Linked DNA regions of Coturnix japonica. Each later gene encodes a partner of the first gene's protein in a complex. Links are inferred from orthologs where the notes say so. Each region holds a gene or a part of one and is shown on either strand. Other genes may lie near its edges. The genes, in order: ZMYND8 and DBN1.

Region 1 (15,788 bases):
TGCACATAGCAGGGGGTTGAAACTCCATGATCATTGTGGTCCTTTTCAACCCAGGACTTTATTTTCATATTCTAAACTCACGTCTTCCAATTTCCCACCTGGCATTTCCATCTGTATATTGTCTCAATTGCAATATATGTGTATTTTTTAAACTTACCTGTCCTGTTAATGGAATGTATGTGGTGCATTAAAATGGAGATGAAATTACTTCGTTTGCTGTAAAAGAAAATTCCAGGTAGGAAGACTGCACTGTATTTAGATGGGGATGCTTCTATTCAGATGAAATGGATGGTTCTGTTTGTGCATTTTGAGTGATATGAAGGAAATAACTTGGAAACAAATTTAAGTCTTATCCTGGGATGTAGCAAATGAATGGCAGCTGTCAGATGTAGTGTTGAGTTGAGGATTACCTGAGCATTAAACGGAAGTTGAACACACAGCACTTGCTGTCAGAAATTGGAGGGTTTTTCAGGTAATGGCCCATAGAAGCTTCCTTTTGTAGACTTGGCCGGGAGTTTCCTGAAGTTCATGTTTGAAATGTGACTTTGTGGATGTTTTGAAGGATCAGAGCACAGACTTTTGCTTAAACTGTAAAATTGGAATATCCCATTGCCTTATCTGAGGGATTTTGTCACTGATCTCCAGCTGCACTGACCGCTCTTAATGATTTCTCTTAATTCTTGTTTAACATCTCCAGAAAATGGCTAGATTTTTTTTGTTAATGTTTACATGCATAAATTAGTAGCAATTCAGAGTCAAGGGTTAGTTTAAGTTTAAAATAACCAAATCTCAAAAGCTAGAATCTTGAGAACAGAGAGCTTTTGAGGGTAAACGTGCATTTGGTGTAATTAAATAAGTCATAAGTTAGTGTGATTTTTCTTAGAATTGCTTTTTTATTAAATGAAAATCTAAGGGATATTTGAAAGTTAACAGTAGAGGTATAGAATAATATTTAAATGATTAAACAAAAACCTTTTCACTGCTTTTATAAGTTGAAAAGCTGTTTTGTCCCAGCACGTGTGGCCTTACTGTGATTATTTTTAAATCTGTCTTTATTAATTTTGTGCTCTTTTCAGCTTCTCCTGCACCAACAAGAACAGGTCAAGCAGGGAGCTTGTCAGGCAGCCCCAAACCCTTCTCTCCTCAAGCATCAACGCCAATTTCTGCTAAGCAAGAAAGAACTGCCACTCCAGGGAGCATTCTGAATCTGAATCTTGGTTAGTGTTGACTTTTAGAAGTCCAAGTGTGTTGTAGCTGAATAAACTATGGTGGTGCCAAGATAATGTGAACAAACTTAGTCCTAGGTAGCTTTAAATGAACAAAGAACTTTAAATGAGGCGTTTTGTAATTGTTGTTCCATCAATCAAGATATTTGATATTTTGTAAGTGGAATTGAAATTTGCTGTTTCTTTTTGATCAAAAGAAGTAGTTAATGGATGATTTCTTCGCTGAATTGTACAATAAATGTTTCTGAACAGTAGGTAAGTTTCTAAAGCTTGTAATTACATGAACTGCTGATGACGTTTTCACTTGTCTTCTGGTCTTGCAACCTAGATGTCAGTTCTTTGCTGACCATCTGTAGCAAGGGATATACTGAGATTCTGAGATTGAGATCTGGAAAATTGAATTAGGAAAGTACTGCTTTGGTAAAATAGTTCTGAAAGCCAAACAGATGTAAATCCATTTCCTCAATCATGTTTTGCTTCTATGAATGTTCTTATTCAGTTCTGGATACATTTTCCATCCAATTGATGTTACGTGGAATGACAGAATGTTTCCTGGTCTTCACTAAATGCTAAAGGAAGGTTCAGATCAAGTTTTGCATTTGTTTAAATATACCACGCTTTTCAGTGTTCATCTGTGCTTGTGGACATACCCATGGAATTAATGACTTGCTGCGCCACAGCTGATTGTCTTTCTTATCAGATGTAACAATGCATTTGAAAAAAAGAAACATCACATGGGAATTGTTTGAGGCACAGATGGGAGGCATCAGCTTGAACATAGAACATTTTGAATGAATGGTGATACTAGGAATGGAAGCGGCAGCCCTTCATTTGATTTCATTTCAGCTGCACTAAACCTGACTGTATCTGCAGAACCCATGGATTTCAGATGTGACTCGTGCTGTCTTATTCTCAAGCACTGTGTGAAACGGGATTCCCCTAGAAAGCAAAATTGAAAATATGCAAAACAAAAACTTGTATCTTAAGGAGAATACTAGAAGGGCTCTGTGATCCTCCTCCAGTTCAACAAGGAGGAAGGGAAAACAGTGGAAAGGAGCCATCAGTTGTTGCTGGTAGACTGGCTAAAGTGAAAAGTGGAGGTGTGAATAACCAAGATATACACAGATTGCTTGGAAAAAATGTATAGTACAGGACCTGTCCTTGTGAAATGGAGACAGAAAAAGACAGACAACTTTAACACAATAAGGAGTGAAATTCCTGAGGTGGATGATAAGAAACAGTGAAGACTTTGGAGATGAGAATTTGAAGATTTCTCCTCAGGGGGTTTGTCTGCCCTCCGGCTCTGGTTTCTTACTGCAGCGTTAATGAGGCAAATCAGAAACTTGGGTCTTCTCAGTGAGACCCCCCTTGTGGGCAAGACAGATAAATTTGGGCTGTGAGACTTACTTCCATGTTAAGATGCAGGACTCCCTGGGGAGGTGTTACAGTGTCTCTTTGTCCCCATTTTTCACATTTCAGGTTGTCTGTGCTGTTACTCAGTCAGCTTTCTCTCACGTGGACGGTGACCTTTCTTCTCTTCATAAAACATTTTTCTCAATTCCTTTTCCTAGATCGAAGCAAAGCTGAGATGGATCTGAAAGAGCTGAGCGAGTCGGTCCAGCAGCAGTCCACCCCTGTGCCACTCATCTCACCAAAGCGACAGATACGTAGTAGGTTCCAGCTTAATCTTGACAAGACAATAGAGAGCTGTAAAGCACAACTTGGTGAGTATCCCACGTCTGCAGTGGAAACCTGGAGCTCACAGTTGAGAAAATGTTGAGTTGATAAAATCTTGAATTTTATTTTCTGACATTTCTGATTTTTGCCAAAAAGCTTTCAGCTTTTGTTCTGTTTTTGTACCATTCTGATGTAGGTGGTTGGACAGATCCATACATGTACTGCTGGCTTTGTACACCAAAAAAACAAAGATCAGTGCCTAACTTACGTTAGCTGCACAGATTGTATACCCAGTCACGCTGTTAAAAAGCACTAACACTGCCTAGCATTTAATTGAAGATTTCCTTGGCACTAAAAAGTTACAGGTTCTCCTTACAAAAGTCATGCAGTCTGAAGCTGATTCTTCAAACATGACTAGAAGTAACTGCAGTCAGTTGAGTGGTGTTACTAATTTTAAGGTGGTTTCTTATAGTTACTGATCATTCCTCTTAATATTTGCCAGTGTTGGTACAACACTGAACAAAGCTACAGCTTGTAGGTAGTGAAAAAGCGTTGTATCAAATAAAAGTAAGAATTGGTATATATGGAAGGTAATTCTCGCTTATCCTGATACTGAGATAGTGCATTAAGGGAGAGGCTGATAGCTGAAGGATTGATGGTTAGAGTAGTGGTACACATATACTTTGTTCTACGGAGGGCTGGGTTTGGGGTTTTGCCTTTTTTTTCCTTTCTCCTCTGGTAATACCAGTCAGTCTGATGTTAATACGGAACGTTCTTTCCTCCCCACCTTTAGGAATAAATGAAATATCTGAAGCTGTTTATACTGCAGTAGAACACAGTGACTCTGAAGATTCTGAAAAGTCTGACACCAGTGACAGTGAATACAGTGATGAGGATCAGAAATCAAAGAACGATCAAGAAGATGGAGAGGATAAGGAAGGTACAAGAAGTGACAAAGAGTCATTAAGCTTGAAAAAAAAACTGAAGCCCCCAGCGCAGAATGAAGATAAGGAGGAACTTAAAAGCACAAGCCCAGAAGTGGAGAAAACAGATGATCCAGTGAAAGAAAAGGCAATTACAGACACTGACAAAGAGTTTTCTGAAAAGGGAAAAAGTTTGCAACATCCTGCAAAAGAAAAACTGAAGGGTAAAGATGAAACAGACTCTCCAACAGTGCATCTCGGACTGGACTCTGATTCTGAGAGCGAACTGGTCATTGATCTGGGAGATGATCATTGTGGGCGTGAAGGACGGAAAAACAAGAAAGAATCAAAAGAACCTCCTCCTAAACAAGATGGTAGGATAAAATTCTGAATTATTTCTTCCTTTATCATTGCGCTGTTGCTCCAGTCAGAGCTGTTAGCTCTGATTTTGCATTGAGATGGTAAAATATCTGTGCTGCAACATGATCTTCATGAATGATTTTCCATTCTTTCTGAGTAAATGATATTTTCAGCCCCTGTTATAATTTCTGGATTAAGTTTTAAAAAAAAAAAAAAAAGTATTCCCATACACGTCCCAGAATCGCAGCTGTTTAATCACTGGAATTTTTCAGAGATACAAATAGTCTGAGTTCCAATTGAAATTAGTGCTTTCAGGGGGATGGGAACTTTTATGCTTATGCAGGGGAGAGAAAGGGCTCTAAACCTTAAGGGAAGGGGATTATCAGCCCAGGGAAGACAGTTCTTTGATCAGTGCTAATGTTTCGCTGTCAGGCTGCACAGCAAGAGAACGGGATCTGATACACAGAACAGTGGTCTATAAGCTCTGGGATGACAGGTGTAAGGGGTAACCTAGAAACATCTTAACGAATGATAACTTCTTGTTCTTCCAGAGAGGTTTTTGTTTACAAGCAGCCAGGATGGGCTATGAAAGGCTTGATTAACATGATTTATGTCTGTGGCATGATGGCTTCCTGAAAGGAAGCTGCAGTGAGGAAGGTGTCAGCCTCTTTTCTCAGGCAATAGGACCTGAGGAAACAGTCTCAGTTTCACCAGTGGAGGTTCAGATTGGATGTAAGGAAAAATTTAATCATGAGCAGGAGAGTGATCAGGCATTGAAATGGACTGCCCAGGGAAGTGGAAGAGTCCCAGTCCCTGCTGTTATTTAAGAGATGTGCATTTGTGACACCTAAGGAACTTGACTGGTGACGGAGCACAGTAGGTTGGGTTGGCAGTTGGACCTGGTGATCATGAAAGTCTTTTCCAACTTAGATGAATCTATGATTCTTTTCTAATTCCATGAGAATTTCTATTCCGGAAGGTGAATCTGACTTTTCAAAAATGTGGTGTAAAATTATGAATCAGATTTGGTGGTGAAAAGCTGACGTTACATTTTGTTTAGTTGTAGGTAAAACTCCACCTTCTTCCAGTGCAAGCACCCAGCCCCTACCAGAAACTCCAGTTCTCACCCGCTCTGCGTCCCAGACTCCACCAGCTGGTGTGACAGCAACTACTAGTGCTACTTCTACTGTCAGTGCTCCATCTGCAGCCACTGGAAGCCCTGTGAAGAAGCAGAGGCCTCTGCTGCCGAAGGAAACTGCCCCTGCAGTGCAGCGAGTAGTGTGGAATTCTTCAAATAAATTTCAGACATCTTCTCAGAAATGGCACATGCAGAAGGTGCAGAGACAGCAGCAACAGCAGCAGAATCAGCAGTCTCAGTCACAGCAACCTCAGTCCTCTCAAGGGACAAGATACCAGACGAGACAAGCAGTTAAAGGTACACACTTTCTAACTCAATGTGCCCATGATGCCATAATCCCCCAGTAGTGATGTCAGTGCTCCCAGCTGCATAACCAGGAATTCTTCCATGTAAACAAAATCTCAGAGTGTGGTCATTCTTTGATAAATGACTATGAAACACAACCACATACTCACCATACCTGCTCTTTCTGGTGTGAATTTAGAGTCATATCTCCTTATTTGAATGACAGACTGTCTGTGTGTGTATCTGCAAAATATCCTCGCTGTTCTTAGCCATCAGTTTTGAAAGACTAAATTGAATTATTTTCTGGATTACACAATGAAATCATTGATTCTGTTTCAGTTGCACAATTACCACTGTTACCTCAGATCTACAGTCTGTACCCAGTTTTATCTGCCAGGAAGCTGATTTGTTTAATCATCGTAGCTGTGTTCTGTATTATATGCTAGAAAATATCACATGAAAACACTCTAAAATATATAGATTTTCTTATACACTGAATTGATGTTCAATAGTACACAGTTAAATTGAAGAACCATTTTATTTCAGTAATTTCTCTTTTGAGGATATCATCAACTGAGATCTTTAATAATGTGAATTGTTAAAAATGAGTTGGAAACTAAGGCAGGTACACCATTAGGGATGGAAGGCTGAGGCTCTTCGTGTCCTGGTTTGGGCTCTTATTTTTGAATCACCAGCTGTTTTAAGATTATTTGAAATATTGGCAAGTGTGACAAAGCCATCCTGCTTACTGACTTCCATCCCACTTGAGGTAACTGTATATCAATTCTTTGCTTTAACGAGTTAACCTCACCTTACATTCCTTACTCTCCAACCAGAGGCTAAGTTTGAGCTGGGTGTATTACATTACATGTCAGAACACAAAACTAACAATAATTAGTAGCACTAATAATGAATGCAAATAACACCAGAGAGTACAACTAAAATTCTTCCTAAAGCTCTCTTCAAAAGTAGCTCAATAAATCTTGTTTCTAGTGAAACAAAGTCCATAATGTTCTTTCAAATGGTGACAAATGAAAATGTTTAAGATGGGTTTATGCTCATACCTATGGGACTAGTTGGGAGCTCTCCAAGTTGGGAGATTAGGAGGTGGGATGGGAAAGTCCCACGATGGGCAGAACAGATCAGAGGGAGACTTCTGCACTGACCAGTCTAAACTTGTAAGTTTTGAAGTTCTTTGCTGTATTGTCCTCGAGCTGTATAATTGTACATGAGTTCAGTGGCTGGTTGTTATAAAATCTATTTGATAATTGGCACCTTTGTACAAATAGGAACAATCTTGAAGTTTTCTTGGTGCATAATTTAATGAACATTAAAGTTAGAAGTCACCTATTCATTTTCACAATCATTTGTGATTAATGATGTGCTCTATGTTCTTTCCATAGCTGTGCAGCAAAAAGAGATCACCCAGAGCACTTCCACATCAACCATAACCTTGGTTACAAGTACTCAACCTATTTCTATGGTCACAAGTTCTGGATCTGCAAGTACACTTTCTTCCTCACTTAATACAGACTTGCCAATCGCTACAGCTTCAGCTGATGTGGCTGCAGACATTGCTAAATACACGAGCAAAGTAAGTTCTCAAACAAGATTTCCTTAAACTTATTTTTATAACGAAATTCAGAGCTTTTAAAATTCCAAGTTCTGAAATAAAAACGTTATTTAGAAATTAACAAGCAGTAGGTAGAACCAGTTAGACTCAGCTATTACTGTAGGAGTAGCTGAACAATGTCATTCTAAGCCAGATGCTAAGCATGGCATGCTCTGGCTGCCCAGGCACTTCAGACCTTTTCTCTCTCCTATTTCCCCATTACTTCTGTTGGTTACATTGCATCATGTTTTGGACAATTTTGGTATTTCCCGGAGGTGTAGGTATCCTCACCACCACAGTTACAGTAGGCACTAAGTATTGATCGTGTGCATTCAGTAAAACACACTTTTTCTACTGCCTAAAACAGTCCTTCAAAAGGAGATTCATAAAAACATATATATATATATATATATATATGTATATAGATACTAATAGTAATACAGGTTCACATTGGAGTGGTTGAAATGGTTATTAAGGATACATCTAAAACTTTTATTTGTCTTTCAGATGATGGATGCCATCAAAGGAACGATGACTGAAATATATAACGATCTGTCAAAGAATACCACTGGAAGTACAATAGCTGAGGTTAGTGTGAGATTGGAAGGGAGTCTGTGTAACACTTAGAAGTTGTAAAAAAAATTTTGTGCATAAAAATGCCACGTAATCACATACTACCATAAGAGTTACATGATTATGACCACAGATATAATACTTCTTTTTAAGTTTGCTGACCGTATTATCATGGTTAAATATATAATCTTTAGTTTGTATTAAACAAAACAGGGACGTTGCAGTTGGGAGCAGCGGTGTCTGTAGTGAATGAAAAACTCGCTTTCCTAAGTCTGGGCTCATTGAAATAAAAGAATCAATGAAATGGCACATGAAAAAATACAAGCAAAACTTAGAAACAGGTTTTTGACTGTGGTTAGAGAAGTTGGAGACCTGACGAATTTTAGATGTAAGACCAAGTTTAATGGAAGTGGTTTTTGTTTTCAAACAATCTGGCACTTTTTATGATTGGAAAACATTCAAATTAGATAGGATACCTATTACCCATGTTGTTAAAAAGGAGCCTTAATGTAAGTGACGATCAAACTCTTTGTTATAGCCTTGGTTTTTTGTGTAATAGTTCTGTTATATTCTGTACTCACTACCAAATATTAACATTTAATATCTATCTGTAATATTCAGATTCGACGTTTGAGGATTGAGATAGAAAAGCTTCAGTGGTTACATCAGCAGGAACTCTCAGAAATGAAGCATAATCTGGGTATGAAAAAGACAAACACAAAATCTGAATGCTTGTCATATACATTGCCTTCATCATAGATACTGTGGATTGTCCACGTGAAGGGTCAAACACCTTGTAGGATGTGCTGTCAGTATTAGTGGATGTCATTTCAGTCCATACACAGATTACTTTTATCTGTGCACAGTAAACAACATCCAGATTTGAGACCCTCTAAAAAACCTGAAGGTTCACAAGCTCAGGGGACCTGATGAGCTGCTTCTGGAGGTACTGAGGAAAGTGGTCAATTAAGTTGCTAAGCCACAATCTGTATCTTAGAGAAACTGTGGCAGTGAAGTTCTGACAGACTGGAAAAGGGGGAACGTAACTCCCATTCCTTTAAAAAGGAGAAAATGAAGAGCTGGAGAACTGCAGGCCAGTCATTTTCACCTCTGTGCCCAGCATCATGGAGTGTAGTAATAGGCAGTGGCTTTAATGGAAGACTTGTGTTTGCTGAGTGGATATGAAGCAGATATACCTAAGTTTGGGGAATATTTTATTAGCTTTCATTTCATGGAAAGGCAAAATTGATTTATCTTTGTATTTTGAGTAGAACTGACAATGGCTGAAATGCGTCAGAGTCTTGAACAGGAACGAGATCGTTTGATTGCTGAAGTGAAGAAGCAGCTGGAAATGGAAAAGCAGCAAGCAGTGGATGAAACTAAAAAGAAGCAGTGGTGTGCCAACTGCAAGAAAGAGGCCATTTTTTATTGCTGTTGGAACACGAGCTACTGTGACTACCCCTGCCAACAAGCTCACTGGCCTGAGCATATGAAATCTTGTACACAGTCAGGTAATCTTGCTCTGGTTTGCATGTTGCACAGCTGAGGGGAGCTCGGGTGGGTGGTAATACACAGTGATTCAGTGTTCGTCATTTGCATGTATGCAGATATGCCTGTTAGGATTGATTGAGGACTGGTGCACGAGAGTAGTGGCTATTCTTTCTTCTTTTTCTTTAGCTACTGCAACACAGCAAGAAACCGATACTGAAATTAACACAGAAACATTAAATAAATCATCCCAGCCCAGCTCAAGTGCACAGCCCACGCCCACGGAAACAGCCAGCACCCCCAAGGAAAAGGACATTTCAACTGATAAAAGCAAAGAAAGCGTTACAGTGAGTATTACTGCGGTCACTTGAAACAAAAATAGTATCTAAGAGTCCTCTGAAACCTGCCCCTAAAGGCCTCCCTGGGTCAGCTAGGAATTTATGGCCATTTGCAGGTTTCAAGTGTGTGATTTGGGGAATAAGAGAGAGAATTGTGGCTGTTTGTTTGTTTGTTTGTTTGTTTTTCCCCCTGTCATCTTGGGAAAAATCTCCTTCTGTCCTCTGGGAACACCCTTTCCCCTGCACTCATTCCCAATAAGAACTTGTGTTGGCTTGACTCATCCTTCCAGCCAAGGGGGACTGGACCTCTTTCTTTCTCTCTCTCCAGGACCCATCAGTGTAGCTTCTGGTCTGGATCTTTCGATACAAGTTGCCTTCTGATAAGCAATACTGACTGCAGCACTTCCAAGCCCTTCTTGCCTGGAGGTTCAGAGGCCAAGCTCAAGACCTGCATTCAAATCAACTTACTTTATCACAACAGACTGCCGATAGGGTACCGCAGTGTTCCATAACACTGATACAACAGTCCACCTGGATCTACAGTTAACGGAGCAGTGTACAATTACGAAATCCTCCATAGCATCTACTCTGATAGTATTCAGTAGGCAAGGATGAGCGAACGCTCTACTAAAAGGGACTTAACATTGCATATATAAAAAATGTTTATAGAGAAGATTCTGCTTTATAGGTAGGGCTTGACTATTAGCAATTTCAGCACCGTTTTTCTTCTGCCCTTGCAAGATTTATTAAATGAAAAGTTTTATGGGGGGGCTTATCCTTCAAACCCTTTACACTTGATCCTCTACATCAGTAGGAGCCTTGTTGTATTTTAAAATATTAAAAGCAAACTAATTTTGTAGTATTGTGATTCCAGCATGATGTCTCATTGAGATAGTTCTTCTAGAATTGGGAAGCATAGTATAATAGAGAGCTGTGTTCATTTCTTGACACTTTTGCTACTGTCTGGTGTTAGATCTCTGGGCTTGACATGTCATCTAAGGGAGTAACTTGAGAAACAGACTTAAAGAAGGGATAAAGGATGTGCTGTCCCACCTGAACCGGGGGGAAGTTCTTTGAACTTCTTTGTCTCAGTTGAAGCTCGTATGTATTGTCTGTGGCAGCGCGACCTTTGTACTACTGGGAGAAAAGGGGATCAGAGAAAATCAATTGCCTAAAACTTTGGCCAGGGAATATTCCAGTTATACTGATCTGGAATTGCTTTCACGTAGGTATTCTACCTGAAACATCATGCTGTACACATTGATCATGTTCATAATTTGAATTTTGCTTTATTAACAAAGAATTAACCTGTGAATTCATTAAGATACAAATTTTTAGCTCAAACAAAACATCCATCATAAATTTCATAAAATAATAACGACTAGGTGGAATTCATGTAAAAGCTGAGACTTTTACTGAGGTTGCCTGTGCTGTCTCTGCAGATAGCAACAGGTGTGACAAGCAACCAGCCTATAAAACTGGTCCAGGTACCGCAGACCACCACCTATATTCCAACTACTCAACACACAATTGTAATGTAAGTACTAATTCATCATTTAAAGTCTGCAGTAGTTCTGTTCCTGGCATTAAAATTGCACAGTATTTCTGGGGGGTTGTCTCCATTTGCTGTTCTATCAAGATATGAATTCACTGGTGTAGTTTCAATTTGCAGCGCAAAATGTCCTATTTTGCTGTGCAACATTCCACCCTTCCATTTCATCACTGATTATTACAAGGATTCAGGAGCTCTCCTTAAGAACAGTGAGGCACTGAGGATAGTCAGACTTCCATTTTACATTATTGTGTTAGTTATTTGTCCGTTTCATGTATATACTTGAACACGTCAATGTAAATATATAGAATTCATTTAAAGTATCTTTTAAATATCTTTTTTTTGTCTATGGTATCCTAAAGAGATTTAACCAATTCTGAGCTATGCTCGATACTCCCGTGACATCTCAGTAACTATGAAAGAAAAATATGCATTCATTGGTAGCGTGTCTCCCATGCAGTCTTGCACATTAGCATTGTGAAATTGAGAAATAGCATTGAATTCAGACCTGTTGTTTTTTTCTTTTTTTTCCATTGAGAACTTAACCAAGGACACTTGAATACCCTTTTATCAGTCACTGGAGATGGGACAGCAGTGAGTTTGGTTTTTATGTTTTGCGTACCGTAATGTCACGTTCTTTCAGCTGGTCGTGTTGTGCAGTGTTCACTGCAGGGTCAGCGTGGAGTCTGAGCTGACCTCTTACCAAACAGAGAAACGCTGATCCTGCAGTGCTGACTGAGCTGCAGGCCTTGTCTCACGCGGTGCGCTCAGCTGAGAAGCCCACGTTTAGGTAACTTCAGTTAGTTTTCTGACTGGAACTAGAGAATAGAAGCGCAAGTTTAACATTGTGACTGTGAGGCCTCATTAGCTGAGTCACTTTCTTTTGCGTTGTGTACACACACGGATACACGTGCACCCGCACACACTGCAGCATCTGCACACGTGTGTGTAGGAACACACACACACACACAGTGTTTCATAGCCATCACATTCAACAGGAAGAATTTATTCTCAGTGGATATCATGACTTATCACATTCCTAAGCATTTACACTCGACTTGTTTGTCCCGTCTGAGAGCACAGTGCACCTTTGCAGGATTGGCCCGAAGTCATTTGAATTGAATTGCTGTAACAAGTTTTTGTGTGTTTGAAGTGGAACGGCGGGCATGGCAGATGTTAGTCTCTGTTGTGAATAGTTGAGAGGTGCTAAGATCGCAAAGTGGCTTCATGTAATGTTCAGAAAAATGGCAGTGACCCCCATCAGTTTTCTGTAATACAGAATATGTTGAGTGATGTGAAGCGTAAGTGGAACGTCTGAAGGCTTCGACCTTTATTTGTGCATGTTCAAAGCGTGGTACACATTTGCATTAGCCTTGCACAGCTACAGACACCTCTGTACTCTAATGATTGCACGTGCAGTTTAAATACTTTTAAACCTTAATGCATGTTTAATATGTATGCAAAATGTACAAATGTGAAAAGCTGGCAGAGGTGGAAAATTTACCTCTCAGGGAAATGATCCTAATGCATTTAAGGAGTCTTGCACATTCCATATCCCCAGCACTCCAACAACTGAAATTAATTCTTTCAGTTGTGTAAGTGTGTATATGTAAAAGACAGCTGTGGCGACCTTAATTTCCCCACCTGTAGTGCTAACAGTGATGTTCATAATGGCTTCTTTTGAGTTCAGTTTGCACTTTGTTCCCAACCAGGCATTTCCTCCCTCTGAACAACTTTCAATACATCTTCTGGGTGCTGTTTCCATTGACCCCTCTTTACACCTCTGAAATTCATCATCAAATGACAAAAACCTTGAATTTATTCAGAGAACTGATTTTGGGTTTGGTTTTTATTCTTTCTGTGGTTAAAATGCCATAAACATTTAAATTCATTGTCCTTGCGTTCCAGGGGATGTTATGAGTAGGCTTCTGGAAGGGCACGGATTGTGTCACAAAGGAGCTGGTCAACACGAGGCTGTAACCCATCTCAGTAGGGATATTCTCAGTCTTTCCTGAACACCATCAAGGCACTAATGTGGTTTCTCGGATTGATGGGGGGAAGGCATTGGGCTTCAGTGAAGTTGTGTGTTGTTCTCCCGTGTTCGCTTTGGAAGCTTACACTGACCTTAAGGGGGAATCCTGGGCGTCCCTGTCAGGTTTCTCATATTCTCACTCCTCGTCTCTTCCACAAAGTGTTGTGAACTGAACTGGATGCGTTTGTTTGGTCTCCAGTTGTCCAGCACTGCGCTGTATCAAAGCATGATTCCAGTTTGTGCGGCATAACGTTCCTGAGCTTCCTCACGTTTCTGTAGGAAGGTTAAGATTCAGACTTAAGATCCAATAAATCCTTCTCCAGACGTTCCAGAGTGATGTGACATTGACCAGATTGTTTAACATTCTTGTGCCTTTGTCTCTGCATCCGTAGAATCCATTTCTACCCATAGAGATGTCCTGAAGCTTCATTTGTTAAGATTTATAGATCATAATCTGTACGATGGAAGTGAAAATTTATTCTATATGAGTATTTTTGCAAGGAGTGTGAGCCAGTTCCCAGAAATGCTGAAATGCTGATGGTTTCTTTATCAACTTGTGCAGAAGTTTAAGTATTTTTTTTTGGTTTAAATGGATGTTCTTTGTTCTCTTCTGTGTAGACTGAACGCGTGGGGGAATTCCTTTGTGGGGAGGTGGGGAGATGTAAGGGGTGTACTTACAGACAAGGGTATTTTTGTACTCCAGGTTGATTTGGTGGAACTTTTTCAAATGACGGAGGATTTTCTTAGCCCTTTTTTTTTTGTGAATTTATTTGGGGAAAATACATAACTGGATGTAGTAGCTTTGAAAACCTAATTCTCCAAGCATAGGTAGGGTGTGTACAGTACCTATAGGAACAGCTGGTCCCAGTAATTATAAAGGAACAATTATACAGGAAAAAAACCCAAAACCCTCTTGGCTATAGGAAAGTAATACACTACTTTCTGCCTTGGAATGAGGTAATATTGTGGTAATAAAGGTATTAATCCTTGCACAAAATTGGAGCTTGTTCTGGATTTTCCCTGGACGATAAATCTCTATTTCTGTGGTCATGTTTATATGACCTCTAACATAACAATATGTTTCTCTTGGTTTTAATCCACAGACCATTCCTGTAGCGGTAAGTCCTTCTGCTGGGACAGTGGCAATGAGAACTGGAGTTCAGTATGTTCAGACCACAATGCCAGTCCAAGTACGAAGAGTCTAACTGCTAACAAGAAGTCCATACAATTGTTGGAATATATAAATCTAATAGAAATGTGAAAAATAAACACAGTTCTTTGGATTAACCTCAAAGGTTCAGACTTAAGCTTTGTATAAACGTACAAAGCATTAACTACACTACATTAATGTAAAGCATTAGCGCTGGCTTAGAAAAGCTGAGGACAGGTAAGATCCGTGTCAAATCTCTGCCTCTTTTGTAAATAATGTACAATTTGTGGATGTCACTGAAGTTAGAGTTCCATCTCCTTTTTATATTTGTATGACTTTAACTTATAAAGAGTGTTTGAAGTTGGAAAAGAAAGGTTTAAAGCAGCCTTATCATAAGCTAACACTGAAAACTGGTCTGGGAAAATGGCAGTCGTGCATCAAATAACCTGAAGAACCTGAACAACTCGATTTGCATTTGGATGAGAACCATTTCTGCACTTGGAGACTCTTGTAGAATTCAACCAAATGATGAAGGCTCTCTTTCTTTCTGTTCATTGTGTTAGGCCAGTTCTGACATTTCCCGTCTGTGGACCTGAGATACGTAAAGATTTGCGTTGTTTTTTTTTACAGTGACCAGACTGTTAAAATTGTTTACAAGAAACAAGGTGAATTTCATTCAGGTTGATATGTGAGGAGTTGTGCAGTGTAACACCAGCTGGTTGGTGCCGTGCTGTCGTATCACTGATTTCACAGAGGAGAGGGTTGTTTTCTTTTTCCTATTCTTCACAGTTCAGTTTTCTTCCTTTTATCTTTTATTTTTAATTCTAATCCTCTACAAAGGACTTTGAGAAGCTTTTCACGTGGAACAAGAGCTTGGGGTGTGGAGAAAAGCATGGATCAGGAAACGCGGGCAAAGGACTTCTGATGCTGGGCCAGAGCATGTATTATTTATATGATGGAATTTATGTTTTTATGTAAGCATGAAGCAGTGCAGTATGAGAGAAAGTAACCCATGGAAATGCTGTCTGTTACACTTATACTGTAGTACCATTTTGTACGTTGTGTAAAACGAAAGCATTGAACAAAGCAAAGGTGATGTATGTATATGAGAAAATTAATGTATGATATCATTCCAGTACATTCTGTTGTACATTTTTAGTCATGTTGATTTTTCCCATTGTTTATAAAAGATTGCGGTCTGTACAGTCTCCAGCTAGAACCCGAGTTAGGGGGAAAGTCTTAGAAGAAAAAGGCGAGAGCAGAATATTCGTGAACTGCAGTTGTGTCAAAAATAGCCTAGCTGGCCTTATTTGTGAAGCATAATTGCTTTTAGCATATGGAAGTATTTTTTCACATTTTCTTTGTATAAAATTTGTATTAAACTTAAATATCTTTTTTGAAAGTGGTGTTTCTCTGTGACTAAGAGCTGACGCG
Region 2 (15,562 bases), on another chromosome or scaffold:
CTCACCTGCTCGCCACGGCCCGCAGTGCCGTCCTTGGGGCCCATCTCCCCGTTGGTGATGGGGGGCACCTCGTGGCCTTCCTGGTAGCCCTCCTGGTAGCCCAGCTCTGTGGGATGGGGCCCACCCGCCGTGGCCTCCTCCTCCTCCTCCTCCTCTTCTACCACCTCCCCATGCTGCTCCGTATCACAGAAGGTGGCGGGGGGCTCGGGCAGCTCGTCCAGGCCCAGCAGCGTGCCTTCCTCGGGGGGAGCCGGGGGTCCCGCAGGGGTGTCGGGCAGGGGCCAGGTGCTGGTGGCAGCGGGGGCTGCGCCATCACTCTGCCACAGCTCGATGAGGGGCTCGGCCACAGCGGGTGTCTCCGCAGGCTGGGGGTCGGCCACAGCGGGCGCTGGGGATGGCTCCGAGGGTTCCAGGGCCACCAGGTCCCCCAGCACGTCAGCCCCTGCTGTCCATGCCGGCCTGGGGTTGGGGTCGGGCTCGTCTCCTGGCGGCTCTGCAGCTTTGTCCTCAGGCCCAGGGAAGGGCCAGTGCTGCTCGGTCACCGCCAGCTCTGCCACCTGGGTGCTGGGGCTGGGGGAGTCTGCAATGGGGGGCACAGCGGTCAGAGCCCACCATAAGGATGGCTGAGGACTGAGGGGCAGGTGGGGGGAGCTTTGGGCTGGGAGATGATGGTGAAGGGCAGGTGGGATGGGTGGGCGGTAATGGTGTTCTCTGGAGAGGCAGTAGGACACGGTGGGGGTGAGAGGAGCACTGGGGAGGCAGGGGAGAGGGCTGGGAGCTGGGGGGCAAAGGGAGGAAAAGGGGCGGAAGTGCACAATGGAAAGCAGGGATGCACCAGGGGAAACAAAGGAGACAAAAATTGCAACAGAAGGTGCAGCAGGACAGATGTGTTCCCTGGGATGCAGTGGATGAAGGAAAGGATGCACCGGGGAATGCGGCACATCCAGCAGAGACGCATTGGGAACATGGCAGCCATGGTGGGGGATGCACTGGTGTGACACGGCGCAGACAATGGGGAGTGCACCGTGGGCTGCACCAGAGACAGCAAGGAATGCAGCATTGTATGAAGGGAATGCACCAGTGGTGGTGGGGATGCAGCAGCAGGGAGCAGCGGATGCGGCGCAGATGCAACACGGACGGTGGGAATGCAACAGAGACGCATGAGATGCACCGGGCGATACGGCGAGGATGCACTGAGAGCTGCAAAGGGGACCCTGGGATGCAGCAGCAGGGGATGCAGGTTTATGAGGGGGGATGCAGCAGGCAGCGCCAGTCCCTCGCCCACCTTTGGGCGTTGCCGGCGTCTCTTCGGCCGTGGCGCGGGCGCGCTGCTCGCCCAGCGGCGTGGAGGCCGGGCTGGACTCGCAGGGGCTGCAGCCCATTGCCGAAACCTTTCGGTAGTCGGACTGGCTGCCTGCAGACAACGGAGACACGGCTTGGGGGGAAACGCCTGCACTGAGGGGTGAACACCTGAACGGGGAGGGAGCAGCGCCCCAGCGCCCCACAGCGCTCTGCCCAAAAGCTGTGAGACGCACGTTGCAACACAGCCATCCCCCCCAGTTCGAGTCCCTTCCTTGAGCAGGAGGGAGGCCTGGTGCAGCAAGCCCTGCACCCCTCTGGGCAGCCCCACAAGCTGCAGTCCCCAGCCCTGCTTTGGCACACGCTGCCCATACACTGCCCCACTGAACCCTGGCACAGCCTCAGCTCTCTGCAGGCACCACACAGTGCCCACTTTCTCTAGCTGGAGGGTCACGGCACCACGTGCCTCCTCCTGCCCCATGGGCACAGCTCCACACGGTCCTGGACACAGCCTCATCCATCCCTCGCTGCCCCGCAGGCGCAGCATCACATCCCTGGGCACGGCTCTGCCCTGTCCCCATTTGACTCCTGATGCATCGCGGGGCACAGGAGCTGCCCCTTGGCCCCCTGTGCTTGGCTGTTGATCCCACGGCTCTGTCCTTGCACCCTGGTCCCACAAGCAGCAGAGCTGGGGAGGGGTGCAGGGCCAAGGGGCTGCGTGCCCAGAGGCTCCCAGCTACCTACATGGGAAGAAAGAGGAGAGATTTGGGGTGCGGTGGCAGGTGATATAGGGGAAGGGGGTCCGCGGGGGGGAGGAGGAGGAGGAGGAGGAAGAAGGCGGCCCACTGTCAGCTGTCTTTATGAAAGGACAGTGCAGACGACCTGCCAAGAGAAAGACAGACAGACGGACGGAGAGAGAGAGAGCAAAGAGATGGGTCAGTCCCTGCTCAGAGTGGCCATGGCGGGGCCGGGACACCGAGGCACCGGGATGGGGAAGACGGCAGGGAGGCAGCACTGACAGCACTGACAGCAGGACGGCAGGACAGCAGGACGGCAGGACAGAAGGACGGCGGGACGGGAGGCAGCACCAAGGCCGGGTGGGCAAAGGGGCCAGGACACAGCCTCGGGGCCATCTGTCTGCTCAGGCACAGCGCATCCCTACAGCAGGAACCCACAGCACAGCCCACAGCAAAACGCACAGTGCTGCCCCAAGGCACAGCTCCACAGTGTTGCTCCAAGACATGACCCCACAGCACTGCCTCACAGCGAGAACACTCAGCACAGCTCCCCCCAGCACAGCCCCCAGCACAGCCCGCAGCGTGATCCACAGCACAGCCCCACAGCGTGTCCCCATGGCAGAGGCACCCACCAGAACAGCCAGCACCCAGAGCTGCAAGCAGAGCCCCAGGGCTGCACCCTGCACTGTGGGGCAGCCCAGCACCCCCTGCCAGCCACCCCACCTATAGTCTGCTGAGAGTCCTGCTGCCAGGGCCAGCAGGTACCACCAGACCCAGAATGGGCATCCTGCCCTGCTGTGTACAAGCAATGGGGACCCTTGGGCACGTACACTGTGGGATACACAATGTGCCACATGCATCCAGCCAGGGGCACACCAGGTGCCCCACATCAGCCCCACAGCAGTCGTCCAGCCTCAGCCCCACCTCTGCCCCTTTTCAGCTGTCGAAGCTTCTTTCCCAAGCCAGCACGCAGTCCCCAAGATGCCACCACAGCTGAACCATGCTGCCAGGAGGTGCAAAGGGCACCCAGCCATGAGCAGTTTGAATTCCCCCATTGCAGGACCCCTTCTTTGCAGCCCCAGCCCTGTCCCAGTGGCAGCAGGTGCCCATCTGAGGAGCTGTGACAGTGGTGGTGCTGAGCAGAATGACAGCAGTCCTCCCAGTACCCAGAACCACAGCAAAAGTGGCAGCAGAGGACACCCACCCCTCTGTGGATGAGCTGCGAGTGCCCCGGTGGCAATGTACTCGTGTACTGAACCCCCCCTGTGCTCCTCAGCCCCTCACCTGTCCTATGGCTGCCCGGCGAGATGGCGTCGCTGCTGCCCGATGCCACCCGCTCCTGCTGCTTGAAGAACTCCCGGGGGTTGTCGGGTCGCTGGGCAATGATGGCAGCAGCCTCCTGCAGGGAGGAGCAAGGCTGGGACCTCCAGCCCAGGCAGCAGGGGGCTGCCCCACACCAGGTCCCAGACAGCTCTGGGTGCTGAGCTCACCTCCACCTCTGACTCTGATTTCCGGAGCTGCTGCCTGTCATCCTCCTCTTGCTGCTCCCCCTGCAAAGATACGGTACCATCACCCCGACACCATCACCCCGACACCATCACCCCTGACACCACCACCACCCAGTTCCCAGCTCCTCGCGGCACTTACAAAGATGGACTGCTCCTTCAGGCGCTGCCGGGCCTCCTCCGCCTCCATGCTCTGCTGCTTCCTCCTGCAATGGGGCCAGGAGCAGAGCTGAGCGTGGTTCCCTCCACCCCCCAGCACCGCCGACCCTCACACCCCCAGCTGGCCCCATGCCTGTGCTCCTCGATCTGCTCCTCGCGCTCCCGGTAGCGCCTCTCGCGCTCCTCCTGCTCCAGCCTCTCCTGCTCCATGCGCTCCTGCTCGAACCGCAGCCGCGCATCCAGCGCCTTTTTCCTCTCCTCCTCCTTGCGCAGCTCCTCCTCTTTCTGCAGGGATGGGACGTGGGGTCACAACCCATCCCATGGAACACCCCGTGCCCTCCGCCCATCCCTCGCCGTCCCACCTTGGCTTGTTCCCAGAACTGCTCCCGGTTGAGCCGCTTCATCTCCACGGTGGCATCGGTTTTCTGGTAGGTCGTGCCCTGAGATGGAGCAGAGTCAGAGGGTGTCAAGGACAGGGCTGGGGTCAGTGCAGGGGATACCCTGACCACAGGGACATGGGGACGTTACCACGGGCTCGGCATTCTCGTCCTCACGCAGCCTCAGGCGGTGCAGCACGGGGCTGGAGACACGCGCCAGCCCATTGGAGAGCCGCTGCCCGATGGCCCCTGGGTCAATGTCCTCCACGCTGCTGGCATTGACAATAACATCCACACCCTGGGGGAGGTGGGGGCAAAACTCATCAGAGACCCCCCCGCAGCAGGCCCAGTCCCCATCCCCGACATCACCCACCTGGAAGAACTCGGCGATCTTGGCCACGTGGCTGGCACAGGCACACTTACGGGCGTCGGGCACATCTTCACCCACCTACATCATTCAGGGGGGTGCTGAGCCAGGGGGGGGTCAGTGTGCCCCCACCACCCCGCTGACAACCTGCACCCCCCGTGGTCACTCTTTTGTGCCTTTCTGCAGTGGCCCTGGCTCAGGACCCCGTGTTCAGCAGGAGGTGTCCCCACGCTGCCCAACTCACCCAATTGACGAGGACATATTTGGGGAGCACGGCCTGGGGCTCCTTGACGCTGCAGAAGCCGTACATCACCTTCTGGATCTCAAAGTGCCCAGAGAGCTCCAGCAGACCCCCTCCTGGCACAGTGCACAGCACTCTCAGCACACGGCAGCCCTGTACCAGGAGCCCTGGCTGAAATGGGGGTTGGGTGACATGACCTTACCTCCTGATGCTGCCAGCTTCAGGTCATCGGAGCCATCCTCATATGTGTAGAGGGCCCTGGGGGAGTGCAGGGGGTAAGAATGGCTCTGCACAGCATGAGGCAGCCTCCCCACCTCCCCTTCTGCTGCTGACACTGAGCCCAAGCCAGGGTCTGGGGACCAGTGGCATTGCCAAAGGTCCCTTAATCCACCATCACACAAAGGATCCAGCACAGATTCCATAGCACAGGGCAGCTCTCCTGCACACAGAATATGGGGCAGGGCACTCCACCGCACAGCTCACAGCTATGGAGCGAGGCCCCAAGGACAGGCACAGAAGGGTCACTCGGCACAAGGACCGTCTGGGTGCTGCTGCACTCATCCCACATGACGCAGTGCTCCCAGCTGCCCATACACCCATCCCTGTCCTGCAGTCCCATGGGGTCAGCTGGCTTTGGGGACAGCCTGCATGGGGCCGCTCACGTTCCTGGCTGCGTGAGCCACTGGCCCGCCAGGCACCAGGCTGGGGGAGGACGCCAGAGCTCCAGCGGCAGCAAATCAATGTGCCGCCGGGGTGTGCTGGGGCCGTCATGGAGACTGTTCCTTGGAAACCATTCCCCGCGGCTGGGAAAACCCTCTCGCACCCCCGCTGTGCCCCAATGAGCCCACCCGGGGCTCCACGGGACCCCCTGCAAGTCCCCAAGTGTGGGCAGGCAGCAACGTGGGGGGAGAACGCCGTGCCCTGAATCGGTCCAGGGCGGGTGGGCGAGGGGATGGTTGTTGCTAAGCAACCAGCATCCTCTATCTCCATGGCAACCCCCCATCCCAGCTGGGATGCAGCTCGCCCCGATGACGAGGTGATTAGTGGAGGGGAGCGGGGGAGGCAGGCAGGCAGCGGGGACCTGGCGGGCGCCCAAACCCACCACCATCACGCGCTGTGCCCGGGGAGCCGGGGCCAACCGTGCCGGACTCCCCCCCCAACCCCCTCCCAGATTATCGTTTTGCTGGGTGGGCGGGCAGCTCTGCCGATCGGCAGCAACACAGAGCCAAAATCCCTGCGGTGCTGGGGAGGGAGGAGCCCACCCGAGTTGGTGGCTTCCAAGAAGGGGATAGGGAGCGAGGATGGGAGATGGGGAGTGAGGATGGGAAGTGGAAGTGGTGAAGGAAAGCAGGGATGGGAGCAGGAATGGAAAGCGGGTGCCCCCCATGGGCAGAGCCCCGCACCAGAGCCACACAGCTCCATCCTGGGCCTCAGCTGCCTCCTTCCAGCTGAGAAATAACAGGAATTTAAGGCCTTGCCTAACAAAGAGGGGGAAACAAGGCTCCCTCCGCCCTGCAGCACCCGTAGCCCCCAGTCTCCCCCCAGCCCTGCTCTCGCAGTGAGCTACAGATAATTGCACCAACAAGATTGACTTTAATCCGCACATCCAAATCCCGCTAATCGGCCGCCTGAGCCGACGCAGCTCCCAGGCTGGAGGCAGCAGGGAGGCTTCACAGCGCTGAAAAAGGCAGCTTTTCCAGCCCTGGCTCTGCTCTGTTCCCCCAGGGACAGGGCTGCAATGTGGGGGGCTGCAGGCAGGACCGTGGGGTTCTTAAGGCAGAGTGAACAGGATGCAAAAGTAGGGCACAGCCAAGGCATAGCAGCCAGAGCACCCGCTGCCTGCTGCCCACCCCCTCATCCCCCTGTGTAGGGCAGCACCCTGAGCACATTGCTGCTGCTGGCACCCAGAGGTGCTCCTGCAGCTCAGCACTGCGGGTTCTGCCCTCAGAACAGCCTGTTCCAGCACCAGGAGGGACAGTTCCAGTGTTCCCAGCCCCACACAGAGCCCAGAGCATCACCATGAGCAGGGACCAACAGCACCACGACCCCACGGACCATCTCCTTCCATGCTTCCATCCCCCCATGCAGCTTCCCCAGCACCCGAGCTTTGACATCACCCATGGGTGACACAGGGACAGGCAGGGAGCAGGGGATGCTTGTGACCTGAATCTCCCCATCACTGACAAGGGGGCAGAGCCCACTGCCCTTCTGCAGCCTCCATTGCTCTGTGCCAGACCACAGCGGTTCTCCCGCAGCCGTCTGCCCCCCATGCAGGGTCAGGAATGGGGGGGTGCCCTATTCTGCCTGCCCCAACCCGGGCACATGTGTTTCCAATGTGGCTGCGAGCTCTAGGGAGTCGGCGTGCTCAGAAAGCAGCACCAAATTCCTTTCCTATCGAGTAATGGGCCCCAGCAGCCTCCGCGAGGCTGGGGAGGGGGAGGGGAGCCTCGGACCCTCCAGGACTGGGCTGGGGCGGGGGAAATCCCAGACTAAACATCCCGTGGCCACGGGGATCCCGGCATCCCCCGAGCCAGCTTAGAGCCGCACAGCGCAGCGTCCTCAGAGCCCCGGCTCGCCCTGCCCAGCTCCAACATTTGGGGACAGTCCCCCAGCCACGATGGTCCCCCAGCACCGCTCCCCATCCTGCACCGAAGATGGGCACCAGGCCCTGCAGTGGAGATGCTGCTCCTGCTGGCGCTGGGCACCAAGGGTGATGGAGGACTGGAGGAGATGGGGAGCACGGGGCTCAGACACAACAAAGGAGCTGCGGGGTTCAATACTGGAAGAGGGGTGGCCCACTCCCAGTGCTCGCCTTCCAGGGAATTGATTCTGCTGCTCTCAGCAGCTTTGGCAGGGAACGATCCTTTGCAGCAGATGCTGGGAAGCCAGATGTACCCGGGGCTGACAGCTGCCTCCTGGCCACCAACACGCTCCGCACTCACCCACCGTGCCACCAGCAGGGCTGGAGGGACCCAGAGAGTGGGACTGGTGGGGGGGGGCCATGCTCAGGCCCAACCAGCGGACACCCAGCAGGAGAGCAGCACTCAGCCTGGCAGGAGCTCAGCACGCATGGCACGCACCAGTCCCGGCTTCTGGGGTGCGCACAGCACCCCCACGCGACCACCCAGGGGACAAGGGCAGGGGGTCCCAGAGGGCAGCTGGGCGCTGGGGGCGGCAGCGATGGAGCTGCGGTGGGATTTGCTCCCTTATCAAAGCTGCATTGTAGCCTGGAACCACCAGGCCCCCAGCACAGGGTGCCAGAGGGATCAGGGTGCAGGTGGAGCACCCCAGAGTGCCGCCACCCCCTGCTCCGCTCACCGCATCCCAGCCCCGGGGCACCCCGCACGGCCCTCCCGGGGACCGGGTACCCAGCGCTCCCCCCGGGGCTGCGGGAACCGGGAGCAGCGGGGACGCCAGTTCCCTCACAGCTGCGGGCCTGGCTCCGCCGAGACCGGGCTAAGGGCTCCCCGTCCCCGCTAACCCACCCCCGGTTCCAGACAATGGCAAAACTCCACCGCATCCCAGTACCGGGCCCAGCACCGAGGGTCCCCCAGGCCCTCCCCACCCGCCGCTCCCCACGCGCGGTGCCGCCAGCAGAAAGGAGACGGGGCTCGGAGCGGGGCTCCCGGTGCCCCCACGTGCCGCCCGGCGCAGACAAAGCGGGGCCGCGCCCCGGCCCAGTGCGATGCGGTGCGGTGCGGTGCGGTGCGGCGGGCAGGTGCGGGCACCGGGGGCGTTGGGCCGGGCACACCTCCTCCGCCGTCCCGCCGGCCCCGCCCGCCTTTGTGTGCCGGGGCTCCGGGCCCGGTGCAGGTGGCGGGGGGCGGCGGGGCGGCACGGAGGGCGCAGCGCGGGGCGCGGTCCCGGTGTTGGCGGCTGCGTCGCGCTCGGTGCACCGGGCGGCTCCGCGCACAAAGGGCCCCGGGCGGCGGGGACAAAGGGGCGGCGGCGGCGACGGGCGCGCTCACCAGTCGGTGGGGCTGTCCTCGCCGATCACGTCCTGGTAGGAGGCGAGCAGCTCCAGGCGGTGCGCCGCGAAGCCGACGCCAGCCATGGCGGGGCCGGGATGCTGCCGGGGGACCGGAGGGACCGGCCGCCTGCCCGCCTCCGAGACACTGCCGCAGCGGCCGGGCGGAGGGGCGAGCGGCGGGGAGGCTCCGCCCGCCGCCGCGCCCGGTCCTAGCGCCGCGAACGGCGGGCCCCCCCTCCGCCCCGGCCCCCGCCGCTCCCCCGGGGCGACCCCTGGGGCACCCACCCCCACCGGCACCCGCCGAGGGGCAGAGCTCCTGGAGCGGAGCGCGAAGCTCGACCCGAGGAGCCGCTCTGCACCCCCGGCTCCAAATCCCGGCTGCGCTCCCTCTGGGCACCCCGAATCCCGCGGATGCGCCCTCGGTCCGCTCTACCCCGGGATCCCCGTGATCTCAACTTCCCCCACCCCGTGCACCCCCGGCCCTGGAACTTTCTTCTCCGAAGACCCCACACTGTCCTCTCTGCCCCGTTGTGCCCTCAGTGCTCCAGGCCCAGCCTTTGGGGTTGCCAATGGGATGAAGGGCTCCCCTCCATCCCCGCTGCTGTCAGATGTGTCCCTCTGCTCCCAACCCACCCCGGGCCCTTCCAGCCCTCGACGCGGACATCATCTCCCCCAGGTTGTGCCTCTGCATGAACCCATAAAGTTCTTTCCAAGCTGCCCCCGTCTGTGGTTCCGAGGTGCAGCCGTCTCCATTTGCTCCCACACGGGTCAGCACCCTCCTGCGAGGGACAGACACGGAATCACCCTGCCCGCCCCACGTCTCCAACCCAGGCAGGAGCCGGGCCCGCAGCAACCCGAGCAGTAAAGTGGGTTTAAACACGGGGTCCCGATCCCTGAAGGTCAGGGCACGGTGCCGGTGGGCGCAATGTACAGCGGGACGCAGCGTTTCGCTGCTCCCTGCCCACGCCCTGCTCGCAGCGGTTCCCGATCCGGAGCCGCCCTGCGATGCTGCGGGGTTTGGGCAGCAGCTGTCGAGCAGCTGCCGGCCGCGGCCGCTCCGCGATGGGCTCAGCTGCCCCTGGGGGTGGGGGCGGCGCGGGGAGCCGCGGGGCTTTGTTCTCGGAGCGGCGCGGCCCCTCCTCGGGCTCCACCTCCGCAGCCCACCCGCGACCCTCCTTCCTGTGCGCGGGGAGGGCGGGGGCCGCTCGGTGAGGCCGGCAGAAGGGAGCGGAGGCTGCGGGTTGCGGAAGGGCAGAGTGCGGGGGGGACTTGGCCACCTGCAGAAGGGCGAGCGGGGGTTCCTGCCCCCGGCAGAACGCTCCAGCGGATGAGCGAGGCGATTTTCCATACATCGCTCATCACGTTGAGGGCTGCAGTTATTACTGACCGCTGCAGCTGTCGGATCGGAGCGCTGGGAGCGGCCGGCCCCACATCCATCGCTCCAGAGCCTGTACCGGGCGGCGGTGCCTCCCGTCCGTCCTTCGGGGCACGGCCAGGACCGCTGTGCTCCAGCTGCTCGTGCCGGTGACTCGGTCCCTGCACGGGCAATGGGGCACAGCAGGAACACAGGGACGGTGCTGGCTAAGTGCGATGCCCTTGCGAGGTCACGGCTCAGCACCATCTCCTGCTCAGCGCTGCTGTTGCTCTGCCCCCTGGATTAATTGCTGCCTCGCTGCTCTCTGCTTGCTAAAACCAGGCAAGGGCAACCCAGGGATCTGCCAAGGTGCAAAGGAGGGGAAACCCCGGAAACAAAGCAGGACTCCAGGCGGGACAAGGGCCATGTGTGACCTTCCTGCCCCCACCAAACCGTGCCCAGCAAAACCACAGTCCCCAGACAGCGGGCACTCGCAAAAAAGTGTTTATTCAAGGCACTAAAAGCACCGTGGCTACATCAGACGCAGCCCAACTGGAAAGTGGGGGGGTTGGGAGAGGCATTTACAGTGCTGGGACAGCAGTGGCACACGCTCTTTGGTAGAAAGCAGTTTTCAAGCCTGATGGGAACCCATTAGCCAGAGGCTGGTGTGCACCCCCAGCCTACAGCGGGGGCAGGCATGGCACACAGTCCTGCTCCATGGCACGGGGGTGCTGCCATAGGCAGCCCCACAGCCCCCCTAGCTCTGTGACATGCAGCCATGGGGGGGTGGGTAGGAAACCATGGTAGCAGACTGCCTGGCTGTGGGGTCAGTGCAGGCAGGGGGAAGAAGGGCCAGTGCTCAAGCCCTGTGTGCTGAGTATGAAGTGGAGGAGGTGAGGGAAGAGTATGGCAGAGGCTGGGGGCAAGGACTGTCCCTGCCCTGGTGCTGAGTGCCAAGGCAGCCGGACCCCATCAAAGCAAAGGAGCAGCCCTGATGCAGCCAGACCCTCCTCCAGCTCCAGCCTCAGCACGGCCACAACCATCGTGCTGAGCAGCTTCGGGGCAGGAGACCTTTGTGGCATCCCCTTCCCTAGGGTCCTATGTCAGCTAGGGGGCACAAAAGAAGCCAGCCAGCTGGAAGGAGCCAGTGCTGCTTCTGCCAGGGCCCGGCCAGGAGCTGCCAGGAGAGAGGCAGGAGCAAGGGGTAGGAGTGAAGTCCCAGCCTGGCTCCCTGGGGCAGGGGAAAGGGTGGGAAAGGAGCATGCAGGGCCAGGGGCATGCACAGGCACAGCTGAACTCTTGCCCCTCACACGTGAGAGAAAGCATGGCTCTTGCACAGCGGCTTGTCCTTCTTGGAATAGAATGTCTTCCCTTCCAGATTGGTCTGGCAGATCTGGGGAGGAGAGCACAGGCAGTCAGGAGGGCTGAGCCAGCCCCTAGTATCCCCTCCCATACACCCTCCCTGCAGCCCAGCACAGATGTCAGGGAGCAGCAGGCTCAGAACTAACAGGACAGAGCCAAGTGGAAACCTGATGGCAGCATGCACCCCATGTGAGACACAGCTCACAGCAGGGGGAAGCAGGGAGAAACATGGCTCACCGCACAGACGAAGCAAGTGTCATGCCAGCTGAAGCCCAGTGCCTCCAGGAACCGGTCCCCAGCGTCGATCTTGAAGTCACAGCCACGGCACTTGGTGCCAAACATCTTCTCATAGTCTGTGAACATAGGCAGAGCACAGGTCAGTGCTTCCTCCAAGACTGTAACCCCTCATTCTGGTGCAGCAGGGCTGCAGCACAGCCTGGGCACAACTTGCTTTCAGCTTTGGAGAGGGGCAGGACTTGAAGCACAAGAAGGCACTGGACACTTGGGGAAGGGTGGCCCTTTCCACCACTGGGCCACAGGGAAGAGGTGAATCCCCCCACCCAGGATGCAGCACTCACATTTGATGTAAATCATCCATCATCACCACGGCAACATGCCAGCAATGGCACCACCCAGCACCAGGGAGGATGGGGATGGAGGGTTTGCGGGGGTCCCCTCCCTGCTCTGCACCCTGGACTTCACTCTTCGGTGCTACTGGGCATGTGCTGAGCCCCACCAGTGAGCAGCACCCCGGGGCTGTGTGGGGTGCCGTGGGGTCCTCCCCTGGTCCTACCTCTCTCACAGTAGGGCTGTCCCTCCTCCATGTAGAAGGCACGGTTGCGGATGGGAGTTTTGCAGGCTGCGCAGGTGAAGCACTGCACGTGCCAGGTCATCTTCAGCGCATGCATGACCTCCTGGAAGAGAACCGCTGTCAGCCAGGAGGGAGCACCCCACACCACAGGGAACCCCAGCAAGGGCTGAAAGGAACCGGAGACCCCTGGGGCAGGACGAGAAGGGACAGAGCTGGGGACACACAGGTAAGCAGGGATGGGAGGTGCAGGGCAGACTGAGGGACACTCACCCCAGTGATCTTCTTCTTGCACTTAGCACAGCTGGGTGCATAGCGCGTGTCGTAGCACTTGGGGCAGAAGATGGAGCCCTTTTCCTCAAAGAAACCACCCTCATCCAGCACCTTCCTGCACTGGCAGCAGGTGAACTCCTCAGGGTGGTAATAATGTCCCAGGGCCACGAGGTAGCGTCCCCTGTGGTGGGACAGAGCCACATCAGCCACAGCGGGGCCTGGCAGTGCCCAGGATGGTGGCAGGGCTGCAGAGGCCGGGGCTCACCTGATGATCTTGTTGCACTTGAAGCAGAGCGGTGTGCGGCCGGGGCCCTCGGGTGCCTGCTGGGCTGCCTGCACAATGGAGCTGCGGTTCTGCATGGGGGTCGGCGTGGCCGGCTGGCTGTGCTTGCTCAGCACCGTGCTCGTCTTGTCTGGTGCGTAGCGCTCAGCAAATGAGGGGTCCACAGCCCAGGGCGGGCGGCTGGTAGGGCCAGGGGTGGCAGCAGGAGTCCTGGGGGCTGCACAAACAGAAGCCTCTTGGATGATGTTCCCAAGCCCTTTGCACCCACTGGTAGGCGAGGTGCAGTACCAGCCCTACCCATAGCCCCGCTCCCCTCACCCCAAACTCAAAGAAAATATTTTTCTCACCCAATCCTGGTTCTGTCTTCATTGCTGCCCCCGGGGATGGGTCCGGTACGGAGACCTGGCTACAAAACCACCAGTTAATCCTGCTGGCCACACTCAGCCCCTGAACCCAGGCTAGCTTGTGCATGCAGGCAGGACCCCCACTCTGCAGCCAGGAGCTGGCCAAGCACCCATGCCCAGCCAGTAGCTACTTTGGTGCTGGGCTTGGAGCTAAGCACCCTCAGCCCCGCAGCACCCCCAGGTCTGTGGCACCCAGCAGGGTGGGAGCACAGGAGCACTGTGCCCTAATGCTGAGGTGCTGTGGGCTGGCAGGGACTTGGGGAATCACACACAATGCTGCTTGCTCCATTGTGACAGTGTCCAGGCACACCTCCACCTCACACACAGCATCTGGTAGTGTGGGGAGCCCTGGGCCAGCTCCAGCAGAGCCAGGAAGGGCAGGGATGGGTTGGTACCAGAGGGGGCAAAGTCTGTGCCCCCCCCAGCACCCTGCCAGCACTGGGCTTGTGAGAAGCCAGGGCAAGCAGCACCCAGAGGAGCAAGGACAGTGTCAGATGGAAAGCCAGTGCCTTTGTGCCTCTTGAGGGCAAGGACAAGAAGGAGGTAGCTATAAAAACCACAAGTGTTTAATTGCAACGGAGCAAACCAGGCAGATCTGGAACTGAGTGGTCACGGCACCAAGGCAGGAGGGGTGGGGGAAAGGCAAAGCTGTGCCACAGCCCTAATCTGTGTCCTTCCATGCAGGGCTTTGAGCCTCAAGAGCTCACCCACCTGGCCTCTAAAAGGTGCACAGCACCTCCCAACACCCCCAGCAAGGTCTGCCAGTGCCAGCACAATCCTGCTCACCCCAGCTGCCTGAGAGACCACAGTGCAGCTCAACCACCCCAGCGCAGTGCCAGCAGTGCCAACAGGCCTGGACATACAGCCCAGGAATCTGTGCTTGCACCCCCCTTACCTGGGCTTTTTAATAAATACATCATCATCTTCCACTGAACGCAGAAGGGAGAAAGGAGGAAACAGAGTCAGTCGGCAGCAGCACGGCCCCACATAGCACTACCCACACGTGGCCAACACACCAACACCACGGGACCACCACGGCCACAGCCCAGTGCCACCGGGCAGCCCCAGACCCGCAGGGACTTACAGCCATCAGTGCCCGTCAGCCGGGCCAGTTTGCGGAAGGAGCGGGACTGGGAGGTGCCGGTGCGGGGCTGCCAGTCCTCAGCATCCTCAAACAGACGCAGCTTGCCCGGGTCACACGCAGGGGTGGTGGGGGGCTCCACGTGGGGCAGGGGCTGCCTGCGAGCAACAGGCAGGAGCTCAACCCGCAGTGATCTGACCCTGCACTGCCCAGCTGGCAGAACTGCCCAAGGGCTTTGTATGCACCGAACCCCAGCACAGACTCACCGCGGCTCCTCCGTACCACAGAACAATACATGGGGGCTTCTGCGGTGTAGAGAAAACGGCAGCACAAGGATAAATCATGGGCACACAGCACAGAGCATCCATTCCTCACGGCTTATCCCCAGCCCCACAGTGATGCCAGCAGACCCCGCTCCCTCCAGCTCCCAGCTCTCCTGCAGTCCCACCCCAGTATTGCTGCCTCCCATGCTGAGCTGTTGGCGCTGCCCTGGGTCTCCCAGTGCCCACAGCCAGGCTGTGCCAATGCCACCTACACCACTGACTCTTTGTGTCAGGACACTGCAGTGCAGGGCAGCCTCCCCACCGCCAGCAGTGCCCAGGGTCCTGCCCGGGATGCCCAGACTGGGTATGGCCCAGCATCAGGGCACAGCAAAAGGGGACAGTACCAATGTGGTGCCCGGGCAGGACCCTGACAATGAGATGGTTCCAGCTGTGGCCCAGCGCCGGCGGTGCCCATTGCAGAGGTGAGCGCAGTGCGGGTGCTGTGACTCTGTGAGCACCTCAGCTCTAGAGAGATGGAAAGGACAGAAAGGGACAGAGCAGGAGGTGACGGGACAGGACAGCACAGACAGGAGCTGCCTGCTCCTTACCTGGGCTTCCTAACTGGCTCACTCCTCGTGGTCCTCAACTGAGTGCAGTAAGGAGAAAGGAGGAGACAGAATCATTAGTGGCAGCACGGCCCCACAACAGCACAAAGGCCGGGGACAGGGCACCCCTTCCTGCTTCCCCACACCAGCATCACTGTGTGCCACACACAGCCCACAGCCCATCAGGGCCCCCACAGCCCCACACAGCCTGCACCACACACAGGGATAATGGGGCCATCACGGCCACAGCCCGGTGCCACCTCGACCCACAACCACAGGCGGCTCCAGGCAGCCCCAGACCCGCAGGGACTTACGGCCATCAGTGCCCGTCAGCCGGGGCCAGTTTGCGGAAGAGCGGGACTGGGAAGGTGCCGGTGCGGGGCTGCCAGTCCTCAGCATCCTCCATCAGCCGCAGCTTGCCCGGGTCACACGCAGGGGTGGTGGGGGGCTCCACGTGGGGTGGGGGCTGCCTGT

The links.
Region 2: the proteins of ZMYND8 (region 1) and DBN1 are in contact, whole or in part, in a crystal structure (PDB 5Y1Z), measured with the Homo sapiens proteins. The link is inferred for Coturnix japonica from reciprocal best matches to the Homo sapiens genes ZMYND8 and DBN1. Residues at the interface, in NP_001350670.1 of Homo sapiens: Gln167, Pro168, Gly169, Thr170, Gln236, Ile237, Val240, Lys243, Ile244, His247, Trp269, Leu285, Gly287, Phe288, Phe307, Gly309, Gln310, His311, Asp312, Ala314, Thr335, Lys336, Ser337, Ile338; in NP_004386.3 of Homo sapiens: Met1, Ala2, Phe6, Ser7, Arg10, Leu11, Leu14, Tyr17, Glu18, Asp92, Ala93, Cys96, Ala97, Ala99, Ser100, Lys104, Glu107, Phe108, Gln110.

What each region holds. Positions count from the first base shown.
Region 1 is NC_029535.1:5,075,921-5,091,708, reverse strand, and holds the end of ZMYND8 (protein kinase C-binding protein 1), read left to right. Parts: intron 1-1,076; coding exon 1,077-1,217; intron 1,218-2,797; coding exon 2,798-2,950; intron 2,951-3,696; coding exon 3,697-4,200; intron 4,201-5,246; coding exon 5,247-5,621; intron 5,622-7,012; coding exon 7,013-7,203; intron 7,204-7,728; coding exon 7,729-7,809; intron 7,810-8,415; coding exon 8,416-8,494; intron 8,495-9,065; coding exon 9,066-9,305; intron 9,306-9,471; coding exon 9,472-9,629; intron 9,630-9,948; coding exon of another isoform or gene 9,949-9,963; exon of another isoform or gene 9,964-11,062; coding exon 11,063-11,157; exon of another isoform or gene 11,158-14,307; coding exon 14,308-14,320; coding exon of another isoform or gene 14,321-14,409; 3' UTR 14,410-14,498; downstream 14,499-15,788. UniProt on the Homo sapiens protein: Chromatin reader that recognizes dual histone modifications such as histone H3.1 dimethylated at 'Lys-36' and histone H4 acetylated at 'Lys-16' (H3.1K36me2-H4K16ac) and histone H3 methylated at 'Lys-4' and histone H4 acetylated at 'Lys-14' (H3K4me1-H3K14ac).
Region 2 is NC_029528.1:11,958,351-11,973,912, forward strand, and holds the start of DBN1 (drebrin), read right to left. Parts: upstream 8,850-15,562; 5' UTR 8,740-8,849; coding exon 8,654-8,739; intron 4,944-8,653; coding exon 4,888-4,943; intron 4,802-4,887; coding exon 4,689-4,801; intron 4,526-4,688; coding exon 4,451-4,525; intron 4,376-4,450; coding exon 4,229-4,375; intron 4,141-4,228; coding exon 4,063-4,140; intron 3,986-4,062; coding exon 3,834-3,985; intron 3,748-3,833; coding exon 3,684-3,747; intron 3,587-3,683; coding exon 3,527-3,586; intron 3,436-3,526; coding exon 3,321-3,435; intron 2,182-3,320; coding exon 2,044-2,181; intron 1,415-2,043; coding exon 1,286-1,414; intron 581-1,285; coding exon 6-580; intron 1-5. UniProt on the Homo sapiens protein: Actin cytoskeleton-organizing protein that plays a role in the formation of cell projections. Required for actin polymerization at immunological synapses (IS) and for the recruitment of the chemokine receptor CXCR4 to IS.